Linked DNA regions of Arabidopsis thaliana. Each later gene encodes a partner of the first gene's protein in a complex. Each region holds a gene or a part of one and is shown in the gene's direction. Other genes may lie near its edges.

Evidence for each region. Proteins that work in one complex are often made in the same cells at the same time.
Region 2: the proteins of AT5G66890 (region 1) and EDS1 are in contact, whole or in part, in a crystal structure (PDB 8YN0), measured with the Arabidopsis thaliana proteins. Residues at the interface, in NP_201490.1 of Arabidopsis thaliana: Lys404 (codon at 3,057), His407 (codon at 3,066), Asn408 (codon at 3,069), Leu409 (codon at 3,072), Asn410 (codon at 3,075); in NP_190392.1 of Arabidopsis thaliana: Arg383 (codon at 3,749), Lys387 (codon at 3,761), Glu416 (codon at 3,848), Phe419 (codon at 3,857), Lys420 (codon at 3,860), Val423 (codon at 3,869), Glu427 (codon at 3,881).
Region 3: the proteins of AT5G66890 (region 1) and SAG101 are in contact, whole or in part, in a crystal structure (PDB 8YN0), measured with the Arabidopsis thaliana proteins. Residues at the interface, in NP_201490.1 of Arabidopsis thaliana: Leu190 (codon at 2,415), Lys214 (codon at 2,487), Trp236 (codon at 2,553), Phe237 (codon at 2,556), Tyr264 (codon at 2,637), Tyr266 (codon at 2,643), Asn288 (codon at 2,709), Asn290 (codon at 2,715), Ala314 (codon at 2,787), Phe338 (codon at 2,859), Gln339 (codon at 2,862), Tyr362 (codon at 2,931), Arg363 (codon at 2,934), Asp383 (codon at 2,994), Phe386 (codon at 3,003), His407 (codon at 3,066), Asn408 (codon at 3,069), Leu409 (codon at 3,072), Leu411 (codon at 3,078), Leu412 (codon at 3,081), Leu414 (codon at 3,087), Phe415 (codon at 3,090); in NP_568307.3 of Arabidopsis thaliana: Leu288 (codon at 3,248), Met292 (codon at 3,260), Lys296 (codon at 3,272), Asp299 (codon at 3,281), Ile302 (codon at 3,290), Tyr306 (codon at 3,302), Trp309 (codon at 3,311), Tyr310 (codon at 3,314), Lys313 (codon at 3,323), Cys314 (codon at 3,326), Val317 (codon at 3,335), Arg324 (codon at 3,356), Pro332 (codon at 3,380), Ser333 (codon at 3,383), Lys334 (codon at 3,386), Glu335 (codon at 3,389), Phe336 (codon at 3,392), Asp337 (codon at 3,395), Ile338 (codon at 3,398), Asn339 (codon at 3,401), Asn342 (codon at 3,410), His343 (codon at 3,413), Glu347 (codon at 3,425), Arg350 (codon at 3,434).

The regions. Positions count from the first base shown.
Region 1 is NC_003076.8:26,712,444-26,716,038, reverse strand, and holds AT5G66890 (Leucine-rich repeat (LRR) family protein), read left to right. Parts: upstream 1-1,566; 5' UTR 1,567-1,655; coding exon 1,656-1,858; intron 1,859-1,963; coding exon 1,964-2,181; intron 2,182-2,268; coding exon 2,269-3,095; downstream 3,096-3,595. Other genes in the region: AT5G66900 (Disease resistance protein (CC-NBS-LRR class) family), read left to right, coding at 1-159, 276-1,108; SNRK2.3 (sucrose nonfermenting 1(SNF1)-related protein kinase 2.3), read right to left, coding at 3,307-3,595. UniProt on the Arabidopsis thaliana protein: Possible disease resistance protein.
Region 2 is NC_003074.8:17,754,774-17,760,026, reverse strand, and holds EDS1 (alpha/beta-Hydrolases superfamily protein), read left to right. Parts: upstream 1-1,879; 5' UTR 1,880-2,334; coding exon 2,335-2,652; intron 2,653-2,728; coding exon 2,729-3,460; intron 3,461-3,556; coding exon 3,557-3,637; intron 3,638-3,733; coding exon 3,734-4,474; 3' UTR 4,475-4,698; downstream 4,699-5,253. Other genes in the region: RR5 (response regulator 5), read left to right, coding at 741-915; AT3G48080 (alpha/beta-Hydrolases superfamily protein), read left to right, coding at 4,882-5,199. UniProt on the Arabidopsis thaliana protein: Positive regulator of basal resistance and of effector-triggered immunity specifically mediated by TIR-NB-LRR (TNL) resistance proteins.
Region 3 is NC_003076.8:4,826,770-4,831,537, forward strand, and holds SAG101 (senescence-associated gene 101), read left to right. Parts: upstream 1-1,729; 5' UTR 1,730-1,984; coding exon 1,985-2,004; intron 2,005-2,156; coding exon 2,157-2,523; coding exon of another isoform or gene 2,524-2,532; exon of another isoform or gene 2,533-2,643; intron 2,644-2,773; coding exon 2,774-4,000; 3' UTR 4,001-4,213; downstream 4,214-4,768. Other genes in the region: AT5G14920 (Gibberellin-regulated family protein), read left to right, coding at 8-46, 167-719, 808-992. UniProt on the Arabidopsis thaliana protein: Acyl hydrolase that triggers the leaf senescence onset. Can use triolein as substrate to produce oleic acids.

The DNA.
Region 1 (3,595 bases):
TAGTGACTCAACATGATATCCTTAGGGAGTTGGCTATCTGTCAAAGCGAATTTAAGGAAAACTTAGAAAGAAAAAGACTAAATCTGGAGATACTAGAGAATACATTTCCAGACTGGTGTTTGAATACTATTAATGCCTCTTTATTGTCTATCTCTACGGGTAATTCTTTGGGGTCTTCTTTTTCTGAAAATTAAACTTAATGATTATACAAATCTCTGCTGTTTCTAGAAATATGACTTCTCTATAACTATGATTGGTCTCTCTTTTTCTTACAGATGATTTGTTCTCATCGAAATGGTTGGAAATGGATTGCCCCAATGTTGAGGCTTTAGTTCTAAATCTCTCTTCATCAGACTATGCATTGCCAAGCTTCATCTCTGGAATGAAGAAGCTGAAGGTTCTGACAATCACAAATCACGGTTTTTATCCAGCAAGATTGAGTAATTTCTCGTGTCTCAGCTCATTACCAAACCTGAAACGGATTAGATTGGAAAAAGTTTCAATCACTTTGCTAGACATTCCCCAACTGCAACTCAGCAGTCTTAAGAAGCTGTCTTTGGTCATGTGTAGTTTCGGTGAGGTTTTCTACGACACAGAAGATATAGTTGTCTCTAATGCTCTATCGAAATTACAAGAGATTGACATAGACTACTGCTATGATCTTGATGAGTTACCGTATTGGATCTCTGAAATTGTTTCATTGAAGACACTTAGCATCACAAACTGTAACAAGCTCTCTCAACTTCCAGAAGCTATAGGCAACTTGAGTAGACTAGAAGTGTTGAGGCTGTGTTCTTCTATGAATCTCTCTGAGCTGCCTGAAGCGACTGAGGGACTCAGCAACTTGCGGTTTCTGGATATTTCTCATTGCTTAGGATTGAGAAAGTTGCCTCAAGAGATTGGCAAACTGCAGAATCTGAAAAAGATCTCGATGAGAAAGTGTTCGGGATGCGAGTTGCCGGAGTCAGTGACGAATCTAGAGAATCTGGAGGTCAAATGCGATGAAGAAACTGGATTGTTGTGGGAAAGGCTGAAGCCAAAAATGAGAAATTTGAGAGTTCAGGAGGAGGAAATAGAGCATAACCTGAACTTGCTTCAAATGTTTTAAGTGAAAGAACGTTATCGTAGTAGCTTCTGTGGATCTTGTAATGTTTGTTATTCATTATTTTCGTTGTTATATACATTATAATGGCTACTGAGTCCAAGTACAGAGAAAATGTCATGCCAAAGAATTTTGTGTAGGTCAATCTTTTAAAACCATTTAAGAGTACTACTAAATCCTTGATCCTTATCTAACTTGAATAGATTTGAACAGAGTTATTCACCAACATTTTTGACAAACTATAAATGTAATATTCAACATTCTTAATGTTAAAAATATAATGTTGGTAAATTCTTTGAAAATCCTAAAATGTGAAGTCAAGTCTCCTTTTTCCTTTGCTAGCTAAACTTCTGTTCTGGGATTCAAACAATGGTTTGTTTGAAACTTCAAAGTACCGCGTGACTTTTCCGTTATAAATTTGATCTAATGGCTTTTATGAAGAGTCACGTTTTTTATAATCAAAGAAAGAGTCGGTCAATAGATTAAAATTTCTCTCAAATTGCTTGGTTTTCATCTTAATTCATAATTCTCCTCTCCCTTCATAGGAACCATTATGAATTCGAATTCGATTCAAAGCTTTGATGCCTTGCCCCACAATCTTCGAGAGTGTTTCTTGGACATGGCCTCATTTCTTGAAGACCAAAGGATAATAGCTTCCACTATAATTGACTTATGGTCTGCATCATACGGTAAAGAGGGTATGAATAACCTCCAAGATCTTGCCTCTCGCAATCTCCTTAAACTTCTTCCTATTGGGTATGTTACTTTCCATTCATCTACCAATTCTTAACCCTAAAGCCTATAGAAAACGGTTTCACCATATTTTTCCCAACTTTCCTTTATTTATTTGCTTTAATATAGGAGAAATGAGTATGAAGATGGTTTCTACAATGAGTTATTGGTTAAACAAGACAACGTCCTTAGAGAATTTGCTATAAATCAATGCCTAAAAGAGTCGTCTTCGATTTTCGAAAGGAAAAGATTAAACTTGGAGATACAAGATAACAAATTCCCAAACTGGTGTTTAAATCCAAAACAACCTATTGTTATTAATGCATCTCTCTTTTCTATCTCTACTGGTAATATAATTATTTCTTTGCTCTGTTTCATACACCCTTTAATCATATTTACTTCATATGATTGATCTTCTTCTTTTTTGTTTACAGATGATTCATTTGCATCAAGTTGGTTTGAAATGGATTGTCCAAATGTTGAAGCTTTAGTTCTTAATATCTCTTCATCAAACTATGCATTACCAAACTTCATTGCTACTATGAAGGAATTGAAGGTTGTGATTATCATAAATCACGGTCTTGAGCCTGCAAAGTTGACTAACTTGTCTTGTCTCAGCTCGTTACCAAACCTGAAACGGATCAGATTCGAGAAAGTTTCAATCAGTTTGCTTGACATTCCCAAACTTGGTCTCAAGAGTCTTGAGAAGTTGTCCTTATGGTTTTGTCACGTTGTTGATGCTCTCAACGAATTAGAAGATGTTTCTGAAACTTTACAAAGTCTACAGGAAATCGAGATTGACTATTGCTACAATCTTGATGAATTACCATATTGGATCTCTCAAGTTGTTTCATTGAAGAAGCTTAGTGTCACAAATTGTAACAAGCTTTGCAGAGTCATAGAAGCTATAGGTGACTTAAGGGACCTTGAAACGCTGAGACTGAGTTCTTGTGCTAGTCTCTTAGAGCTACCTGAAACGATTGACAGACTCGACAATTTGCGGTTTCTTGATGTTTCTGGTGGCTTCCAACTGAAAAACCTGCCTCTAGAAATTGGAAAGCTCAAGAAGCTTGAGAAGATTTCGATGAAAGATTGTTATCGATGCGAGTTACCGGATTCTGTGAAGAATCTAGAGAATCTGGAAGTGAAATGCGACGAAGATACTGCGTTCTTGTGGAAAATATTGAAACCAGAAATGAAGAATCTGACGATCACAGAGGAAAAAACAGAACATAACCTCAACTTGCTTCAACTGTTTTAACTGTTAATTTGCTTTTGTGTGACATTGGAATATATATATAATATACACAGATGATATTTTACATTACATATATGATATATGTGTGCATGAAGAAAACAAGAAACAAACAGAGACAATACAAAAATTGGTAGAATTTGAAACCAGAGGATCAGAACACTACTGGTCTTAGAACAGATAGAGAAGTGTTTTGGTTGTTAAAAAAGGCTTTTTATTAGAGAGCGTAAACTATCTCTCCGCTACTGTCAATGTCGATTTCAGATTCAGAGTCAAAGTCATCCATGTCATCGTCAAGATCAAGATTGTCAGTCATGAAATCGTCTAGGCAACGGTTTCGAACAGCGGGAATTGTGGCTTCAGAGATGATTTGCATGATTGTGTCAAGGCTTTGCATTGGTTGTTCAGGCTCCTGGAACTGGCTTCCTGTGTTGCTCTCGTTCATTAGATCAGCAGGGAGATTCTTCAAGAACCAACTATGGGTTTTGATCTCTGGTATGCTTATT
Region 2 (5,253 bases), on another chromosome or scaffold:
CTATAATAATCTTAACTATGATCCTTAATTCTTGTTTAGGTCAAGATTATGTAGGACCAAAATTTACCAAATATAGTAGATTTTGTGCATTTATTACTTCAGGAGATGGGGATGATTAGATTTAGAGGGTATTGTTTGTTTAGGAAACTTTTTAAAGTAATCACACTAATTTAGGATTTGTGATAAAGTTACCGTTAAAGGATATGTATTGACTAAATTAAATTGTTGTATAATCACAAGATTTTGTTATGATAGAAAAGGTTATTATATGATTACTTTTTAACTATCATGGGGTTAACTTTGGTGGTGGTTGTATATTTGATCAAGCTGAGATTTGGTGTTTATTTTAGTGGGTCCTAAAATGATTTTTAAAATGGATCTTAGGAATAATAAAATTTATCTTGTGGCCATAAATTTAGAAAAGAATAATCCATCATAAGTTAAGCAAGATCTTCTCTTGAGATTTGATTCTATATAAGCCGGTGACATGTTAGGCCCTCCAAAACTTTATAATATATGTTTTAATTGTTTGGGTTGCATAATCTTAGGTAGGGTCATTTATAAAATCCCAATCCTCGTGATAGACACCTCACATGCCTTTGCTTATTACTAAGGAACCAAACCCTCTTTACCAGATTAAGTTTAATGATTATCATATATGAGCTGGCCATTTTCTGTATCCAAAGTTATAAACTTTATGGAATTAGATCACTAACATTTGGTTCCTTATATTTATTCAGATGTCTTGAAGAAGGAGCTGAAGATTTCTTATTGAAGCCTGTGAAATTAGCTGATGTGAAGAGATTAAGAGATTCTTTAATGAAAGCTGAGGAAAGAGCTTTTAAGAATATTATGCACAAGAGAGAGCTTGAAGCTAATGATATCTACTCGCAGCTAAAACGCGCAAAGATCTGAGTTTATCAGATTCCACGTACGATATGTTCTTTAAAAGCTCAAAGATTCACACACATGCATGTCCTGATTCTTTCGGCTTACAATTTTTGAGACATTACGGCTTCTTTTGCTGATAGAACCAAGACTGATCAAGAGTGACAAAGATGGGTTTTTATAAGATAGAAATGTAAATTGTAGACTTGGATTCATTAGAGAGGAGAAGAGATACATTTTTTTTTTCTTTACATGAGAGATATGTAAAATGGTGGTGTGTTATTTTGGAAGTTAACATATGAATTTCTTTTGTTAAGATTACTTAAATAATGATTTAGGAATGGATTAGTAGTTTAGTACCGTTCATTACACGAAGACAAGCTAATCTTTTGTCTAATTAAAATAAAGCTGTCTACATGAATCGAATCCAGCGAGATAAGTTAGTTATTTTAAGCGTTGGTTGGAACACTTTACATGGCTTTTCGTAGAAATTTCCCCAAGTTGGGTTTTATTAAGACCAAGAAAATTCTAGTCTCCTAGACTTTTTTTTGTTTCTTTTGTTAATTTAGTCTCCTAGGCTTTTTCATTCTATCTGAAAGCAAAATATGGTTATGCAATTTGGTTTAGCCAAAAAAACAAACTAAATTTTTCTAGTCCGGTTCATGTAACTTCATAATCAAACAAGTAAAAGTCGAATGTGACGCGTCTTGCCGAACGCAAAAACGGACCAGGCAAGAAGGTGTAGTTAGTTAATTCGGTTAATATTCAGCTGAGAGAAATCGAACCGGTTCCATATCTTGTAGATTATCCGGTTTACTTTCCGGATAAGATTTATAAGCAAAACAGAGTTAAAGTAGTAGATTTCTTCTATACGAGACCAAATCTGAAAACCCAAGTCAAGCTACAAAAACTTAACTCCAAGCGAACAAATCTCCTCATTCATTAAACAACAAAATTGTTTTCCGACAAAAAAGTGAATATCATTGAGTTACTGCGAAATCCCAACCGAGAGTGACATCTCAAACCAAAAGATGGAGTCTATATTAAAGAGACGAAGACTCCAAAGTCAAGCTACAAAATTTCCAAGCAAAGATTACACAGAGAAAACTTTCCGACCAAATGTGAATGTTTATGAAAGTTTCTGCGAAACTCCAGTCATGTCGGATGTACAAAGCCATACACCAATGTAAAACCGACACGTGGAAAGCTAAGATTCCTAGCTTTTCTTTCTTCATGAGTCTCCAATAGCCAAAGAGTCAACTCCAAAAAAAAAAACCCATTTTTGCATTGAAATGGTCTCATGATGGGGTATTTTGGGTAACTAATTAGTCCTGTCTACATCTTCCCATAAATTAACAGAGTAGGAGCGGATTAAAGAAGCAAGACGATTCAAAAGAAAAAAGAGAGAAGAAAGTCCACTAAAGAAAAGAGAATAGATATAGATCAATGGCGTTTGAAGCTCTTACCGGAATCAATGGTGATCTAATCACCAGATCATGGTCAGCCTCGAAGCAAGCTTACCTAACCGAGCGCTATCACAAGGAAGAAGCAGGAGCAGTCGTAATCTTCGCTTTCCAACCATCTTTCTCAGAGAAAGATTTCTTCGATCCGGACAATAAATCTTCCTTTGGAGAAATCAAGTTGAACCGTGTTCAGTTTCCTTGTATGAGGAAAATCGGTAAAGGTGATGTAGCTACTGTTAACGAAGCTTTCCTCAAGAATCTTGAAGCTATCATTGATCCAAGAACCTCATTTCAAGCTTCTGTAAGAAGATTGAAAACATCCGAATATATTTTTCTTTTTTTTTCTTTTTTGGTCTCTTATGCTTTTACTTCTTCAGGTGGAAATGGCTGTGAGGAGTAGAAAACAGATAGTGTTCACAGGACATTCCTCAGGAGGTGCAACTGCAATCTTAGCAACAGTTTGGTATTTGGAGAAATACTTCATACGCAATCCAAATGTTTACCTTGAGCCTCGTTGTGTGACATTTGGAGCTCCTTTGGTTGGTGACTCTATCTTCAGTCACGCACTTGGGAGAGAAAAATGGAGCCGGTTCTTTGTGAACTTTGTCTCAAGATTCGATATTGTCCCTCGGATTATGCTTGCTCGAAAGGCGTCTGTAGAGGAAACTTTGCCTCATGTTCTTGCCCAATTGGATCCCAGAAAGTCTTCCGTCCAAGAGAGTGAACAGAGAATAACAGAGTTTTACACAAGGGTGATGCGAGACACATCAACTGTTGCAAACCAAGCTGTTTGTGAATTGACTGGAAGCGCAGAGGCGTTTTTAGAGACCCTTTCTAGTTTCCTTGAGCTAAGTCCTTATAGACCCGCCGGTACTTTTGTTTTCTCTACAGAGAAGAGATTGGTTGCAGTGAACAACTCGGACGCCATTCTTCAAATGCTGTTTTACACTTCTCAAGCCAGCGATGAACAAGAATGGTCTCTAATTCCATTTCGAAGTATCAGAGATCATCATAGCTATGAGGAACTGGTACAGTCGATGGGAAAGAAGTTGTTTAATCATTTGGATGGAGAAAACTCAATAGAGTCTACGCTCAATGACCTTGGAGTGGTAAGTCTCTCTCTCTCTCTCTTTTCATACTGTGCAGCTCCATAGCTCCATTCTTGCAATCATTTAAACCCTTCAGAGTGTTTCCTTTTTCTGCAGAGCACAAGAGGCAGACAGTACGTTCAAGCTGCATTAGAGGAAGAGAAGAAACGAGTAGAGAATCAGAAGAAGATTATTCAGGTTTGTGGTTGATAAGCTTGTTCATGAATAATGCAGGTACGTGCTTCGTCTGTTTGTGTCTAACAACATAAAACTTGTTGGTTCTGTGGTTTTTAGGTGATCGAGCAAGAGAGGTTTTTAAAGAAACTAGCATGGATAGAAGATGAATACAAGCCAAAGTGTCAAGCCCATAAAAATGGGTATTATGATTCCTTCAAAGTTTCAAATGAAGAGAATGACTTCAAAGCAAACGTCAAGAGAGCTGAGTTAGCCGGTGTTTTTGACGAGGTGCTTGGTTTAATGAAGAAATGTCAACTTCCAGATGAGTTCGAAGGGGACATAGATTGGATCAAGTTAGCAACTCGATACCGCAGATTAGTTGAGCCTCTTGATATTGCAAACTACCATCGACATTTAAAGAACGAAGACACAGGGCCGTACATGAAAAGAGGAAGACCAACCCGCTACATATATGCTCAGAGAGGCTACGAACATTATATACTGAAGCCAAACGGAATGATTGCAGAAGATGTATTTTGGAACAAGGTAAATGGTCTTAACTTAGGGTTACAGCTAGAAGAAATTCAAGAGACTCTAAAGAATTCGGGATCCGAGTGCGGATCATGCTTTTGGGCTGAGGTTGAAGAACTCAAAGGAAAGCCATACGAGGAAGTTGAGGTAAGAGTTAAGACATTAGAAGGGATGCTTGGAGAATGGATCACAGACGGGGAGGTAGATGATAAGGAAATATTTCTGGAGGGTTCAACGTTTAGAAAGTGGTGGATTACGCTTCCCAAAAATCACAAATCGCATTCTCCTCTGCGAGACTATATGATGGATGAAATAACAGATACCTGAACCTTAGGTGGTGGAGTATTTAAGCTATTAGAACACTTGCTTCTCTTAATTTGTGCAATAAGAAATGTTTATCAATCTGGTTTCCACTTCATGATGATCTTAGAATAAGAAACATGTTGTATGATCATTGTGAAGTAATGTAATAGCTCTCTATTCTAATGTCAAATTTGGTTTCCACTTTACAGTGATCTTAGAATATATACGTTACTCTACTAAAGCCTAAAGCCATCTCAAATAGCATGAACCAGTAACAAACAACCTTCCTTAGATTGAAATGGTCTCATGATGGGGTATTTTGGGTAATTACTCCTGTCTACATCTTCCTACTATATTAACAGAGTAGGAGGACTAAGAATCAAGACGACTCAAAAGAAAAAAGAGAAGAAAGTCCACTCAAGAAAAGAGAAATGGCGTTTGAAGCTCTTACGGGAGTCAACGGTGATCTAGTCACCATATCATGGATGGCGTCGAAGGGAGCTAACCAAACGGAGCACTATCTCAAAGAAGAAGTAGGAGGAACCGTTTTTTTCGCCTTCCGAGCATCTTTCTCGTCGGAAGATTTGTTCGCTACGGAGAATACATCTCCCTTTGGAGAAATAAAGATGAAGCGTAATCAATTTCCTTGTATGAGAAGCATCGGCAACGACGTTGACACTACTGTTAACGAAGCTTTCCTCAAGTCACTTGAAGTTCTCATTGGTCCAAGAACCTCATTTCATGCTTCTGTAAGTAAACAAAAGCTTCTTAAATGCGTTTTAAATCGAAAACATCAGAATAAT
Region 3 (4,768 bases), about 22 Mb from region 1:
CGAGCAGGTTGTTTTTGCTGCTTCAAATGAGGAATCCAACGCCTTAGTACGTTTTCTAATTTCCAGTTTAATTATTTCTATGCGTCTTTAACTATATACTCAGGCATTTTTATTGATTATTGTGTATGAAGTTAAATTTTGGTATATGTTTGTATTAAATTTATAGGTTTCTTTACCAACGCCAACACTTCCATCGCCATCTCCGGCTACCAAACCGCCGTCGCCAGCTCTCAAACCGCCGACGCCGTCGTACAAGCCACCCACGCTGCCAACTACTCCTATTAAACCACCCACCACAAAACCTCCGGTCAAACCTCCAACTATTCCGGTTACACCAGTAAAACCTCCGGTTTCAACTCCTCCGATCAAACTACCGCCGGTACAACCACCTACGTACAAACCCCCAACGCCAACAGTTAAACCACCGTCCGTCCAACCACCTACGTACAAACCCCCAACTCCAACGGTTAAACCACCCACTACATCACCGGTTAAACCACCCACTACGCCACCAGTTCAATCACCGCCGGTCCAACCACCTACGTACAAACCCCCAACGTCACCGGTTAAACCACCCACCACAACTCCACCGGTTAAACCCCCCACCACGACGCCACCGGTCCAACCACCTACGTACAATCCCCCAACTACACCGGTTAAACCACCTACAGCGCCGCCTGTCAAACCTCCAACACCACCTCCCGTAAGAACTCGGATAGGTAATAATAATTTTCTTTCAAAAGTGTGATGATTATCGGTCGTTGATTAGATCGGATGTATAATTGGACTAAATTTTGGACGGTTTAGATTGCGTGCCTTTATGTGGGACGAGGTGTGGGCAACACTCGAGGAAGAACGTATGTATGAGAGCGTGCGTCACGTGCTGCTACCGCTGCAAGTGTGTTCCCCCAGGCACCTACGGTAATAAGGAGAAGTGTGGATCTTGTTACGCCAACATGAAGACACGTGGTGGAAAATCCAAATGTCCTTGAACCTTTATATGACGATGGTTGTTAAACGAAATAATTTAAATCAATGGAGTTTTTATAAGTTTGTAATGCGTTTGTTTTTGTTATAGTAATATTGAGTTGGATCTTTGTTTACGGGACGTAGAATACTAAATAATGAAAAAAACCTTCTCGATGAATTAAGGGTTTTATGAATTTGTTTTGTATTGAATAATATAGGGATGGATAAAGTTTTATTATTCTAACAGGTTACTTTATTAGGCATTTCTTCGGCTCATGTAACTCTTGTATCGCTGAAACTATGTAATAGATAGAAGAACCTAAAAAAAGAAAGAAAACAAGAAATGCACATAGCGAAGCTCAAAAGATGAGTGTTCTGCTAGCGGTAATGTTGTTATTCAGTTGGGTCAAATGCTCTAATTGCAAATCTTATTTGGGCCTTATATAGACTCTTATGTGCATATGGTCCAGCCTATTTGGGCCGATGTGTTTGAAGATCATTTGGGAAAGTCTTGCGCAAGGAGAACTTACTTGGGACTTGGGAGACTTGGAGTAACAAATTCGTCTTGGAGTAACAAATACATGTCAACTTATTCCACAAGTTCTTTGTGATAATGATATACATATTTAAATGTTTTAAAAAAGGGAAAGAATAAACAAACTCTTTGTGACTTTTTGGGTATTTATGATTCTTTTGGTCCTTCTCTTGTACACATTTGAGTCCTATCTTATATGGTAAGCTTTCAAATGCAAGCGTGTTATTTTTATTCACACTTGTTCTATCTTAATAGTATGTTGAACTCTTCGCCTTTGGCGATTCTTCCCGGAAAAGGGACCATTGACTTTCAGATACACTTCTTTTTTTTTTTTATAATAATTATTATCAGTTCAATGATTTTTCAATATGGACTCTCGTTCTCAGACATTTATTTCTCTCAGTCTTACAATATAAATTTTCATTCTTACCATCCATAATTTTGTATTGTCTTCTCCACAGATCTATTCCAGCTCACGCCATGGAGTCTTCTTCTTCACTGTAATCATTACAATTCACTCTCTTGTCTTTCTAACTTAACCTGCTTTGTTCAGCTTCTTTCGTTTCTTGAAAACCGTATTTTTTTGTTGATGATATTTTTATTTCTTGTTCCTTAGACATTGACTTAAATTCACAATTTTCCTGGTTTTTAGAAAAGGTTCTGCACTTGGGAAGCTTGTGGTGACCTCTGGTCTCTTACATAGCTCATGGAGTAAGATCTTGGAGATACATAACCCACCTTATTCGAATCATGATCCAGGTCTACAAGTTTCAAAAAAAAAAAAAGATTCAGGTCTAGAATTTCAGATTCACCGAGAAGAGAAATTCACACTTGTGGTTTTTAGCGCACCACCGATCTGCAGAAGTAGTAGCTCTGATTCTACTCTTCTTCATGTGAAAGATAAAGAAAATCCTTTCCCATTCCTCTGCTCCGAGAACAACCCATCATTCTCTCTTCACACACCTGCTTTTAACCTTTTTACCTCTGCTTCTACTAGTCTCACTTACCTCAAATCAGAGGTAATTTAATCTCCATCTCTTCAGTCTTATCTCGTTTTTAAGACTAATTCAGAATCTTGAAAGTTAGTGTCTGCAGAAATATATCTCTGCCGTGTTTGCAATTCAGTCCAATAGCTTTTTAATACTCTGTTTCAGATTTTGTTTGATCTAGTATATGTTTCTTTGTGTATTGTCTGGTTTTAAAAGTCAACAACTATAAGAAACAGAATCTTTGTACGTAGAAAACTTGAAAGTTATATGTCTCTTGCAGTTGCTCCAAACGCTCAAGTCTGAGAAACCGGTGATCATCACCGGAGCTGCGTTAGGAGGGTCTGTTGCATCTCTCTATACGCTATGGCTTCTTGAAACCATCGAACCGACGTTAAAACGTCCCTTATGCATCACATTTGGCTCGCCATTGATCGGAGACGCTTCTCTTCAACAGATTCTTGAGAACTCTGTGAGGAATTCATGTTTCCTTCACGTTGTATCAGCACAAACTCGTATCAAGATGGACTTCTTCAAACCTTTTGGAACGTTTTTGATCTGTTTTGATTCCGGATGTGTTTGCATCGAGGACCATGTGGCGGTCACAGAGTTGCTAAACGGTGTTCATGATTCGGGTCTAGTAGACTACAGCCAAGTTCTAAATCGTCTTGACCAATCCATGTTGTCTCTGGCGGATTCAAGATTGATCCCTGAAGATGTTATCAAAGGAATAGAGAAACGTGCAGAAATGAAAAATCTGCGATTTGATATGATGTTTAAGAAACTAAACGACATGAAGATATCGATGGCTTATATAGAGTGGTACAAAAAGAAATGCAAGGAGGTCAAGATCGGTTACTACGATCGGTTCAAGACTCAGCTCGCGTTTCCGTCGAAAGAGTTTGATATAAACATCAAGAATCACCACAAATCAGAGCTAAACCGTTTTTGGAAATCAGTAGTTGAAGAAGTAGAGAGGAGGCCGCAGAGCGATGCATCGATTCTCAAGAGACGGTTTCTATTCTCGGGGAACAATTACAGACGGATGATCGAACCACTCGATATTGCTGAATATTACCTCGAGGGTCGGAAAGAGTATCGAACTACGGGAAGGTCTCACCACTATGTTATGCTTGAGAAATGGTTTGGAATGGAATCGATATTAATAGAAAAGGAAAGATGCAAAAAGAGAGATTTGAGTGATCTTTTGACGTTTGATTCTTGTTTTTGGGCTGAAGTTGAGGATTCGTTGATTGTAATTAATCAGTTGAATACAACTGTGGGGATGAGAGACGATGTGAGAGAGGTATTGACTAGAAAACTCGTGGAGTTTGAGGGATACGTGTGGGAGATAATCACAAAACGTGAGGTTTCGCCGGAGATATTCTTAGAGGAAAGCAGTTTCATGAAGTGGTGGAAAGAGTACAAAAAGATCAAAGGCTTTAATTCTTCATACTTGACCGAGTTTATGAACACCCGGAAGTACGAGAGTTATGGTAAGTCACAATAATGGAATAATTTGGTAATTTATTTACATTTCAGGTTACTAGTGTGTGATTGTTATTATTCATTTACAACGAGAATTAGTAGTTTCTAGTAAATTTCGTTACCAATTTCTTCCCGTTTACAAGAAAAAAAAGTATTATATTTAAGAAAGCAAAAGCAAAAGACAAAAGTGTGTCATTGCGAGAGTAACAGAAGTGAAATAAAATAACGTTATTTATGTGTTCTTGTAAGGGTGGTATGATGAAGTTTACATCAATCGCAACAACTCTTAGAGTATTCGTCTTAGGATCGTGACGGATTGCATAGAACTAACTACTCCAGATCGTAATTTGCATATATAACCTCACCCGTGTGAGCAATGCCTCTAAAGTTTACAGTACTAGTCCTTATTAATAAACTTACTTTCAATGAAATCCTCCAAGACCCACGAATAATCAAATGAATTACTCACGTCAAATCTCACTAAGCTACTACTCCTTTTTGTTAAACGTCCTAAACTCCTAATCTATATACTCAATAAGGAAATCTTTTTGAGTATACCTTAGGTAAAGGGCCAATAATAAACCCAATAAAGGCCCATTAACGTTAGGGCAATAGAGGTGCATTAAAAAGAGAGCAATAACTAATATGTTCGAGCCATCTTGATCAGTATCTCGTTGATTATTCTTGGTCTTCTTGCTATGCCTGCCTTTCCATGGCAAAACCCTAAATCTCTTGAAGAAAACTTTCTGCTCAAGAATCCCACTCCATTCTTTTTTTGTCGCCTTGATCT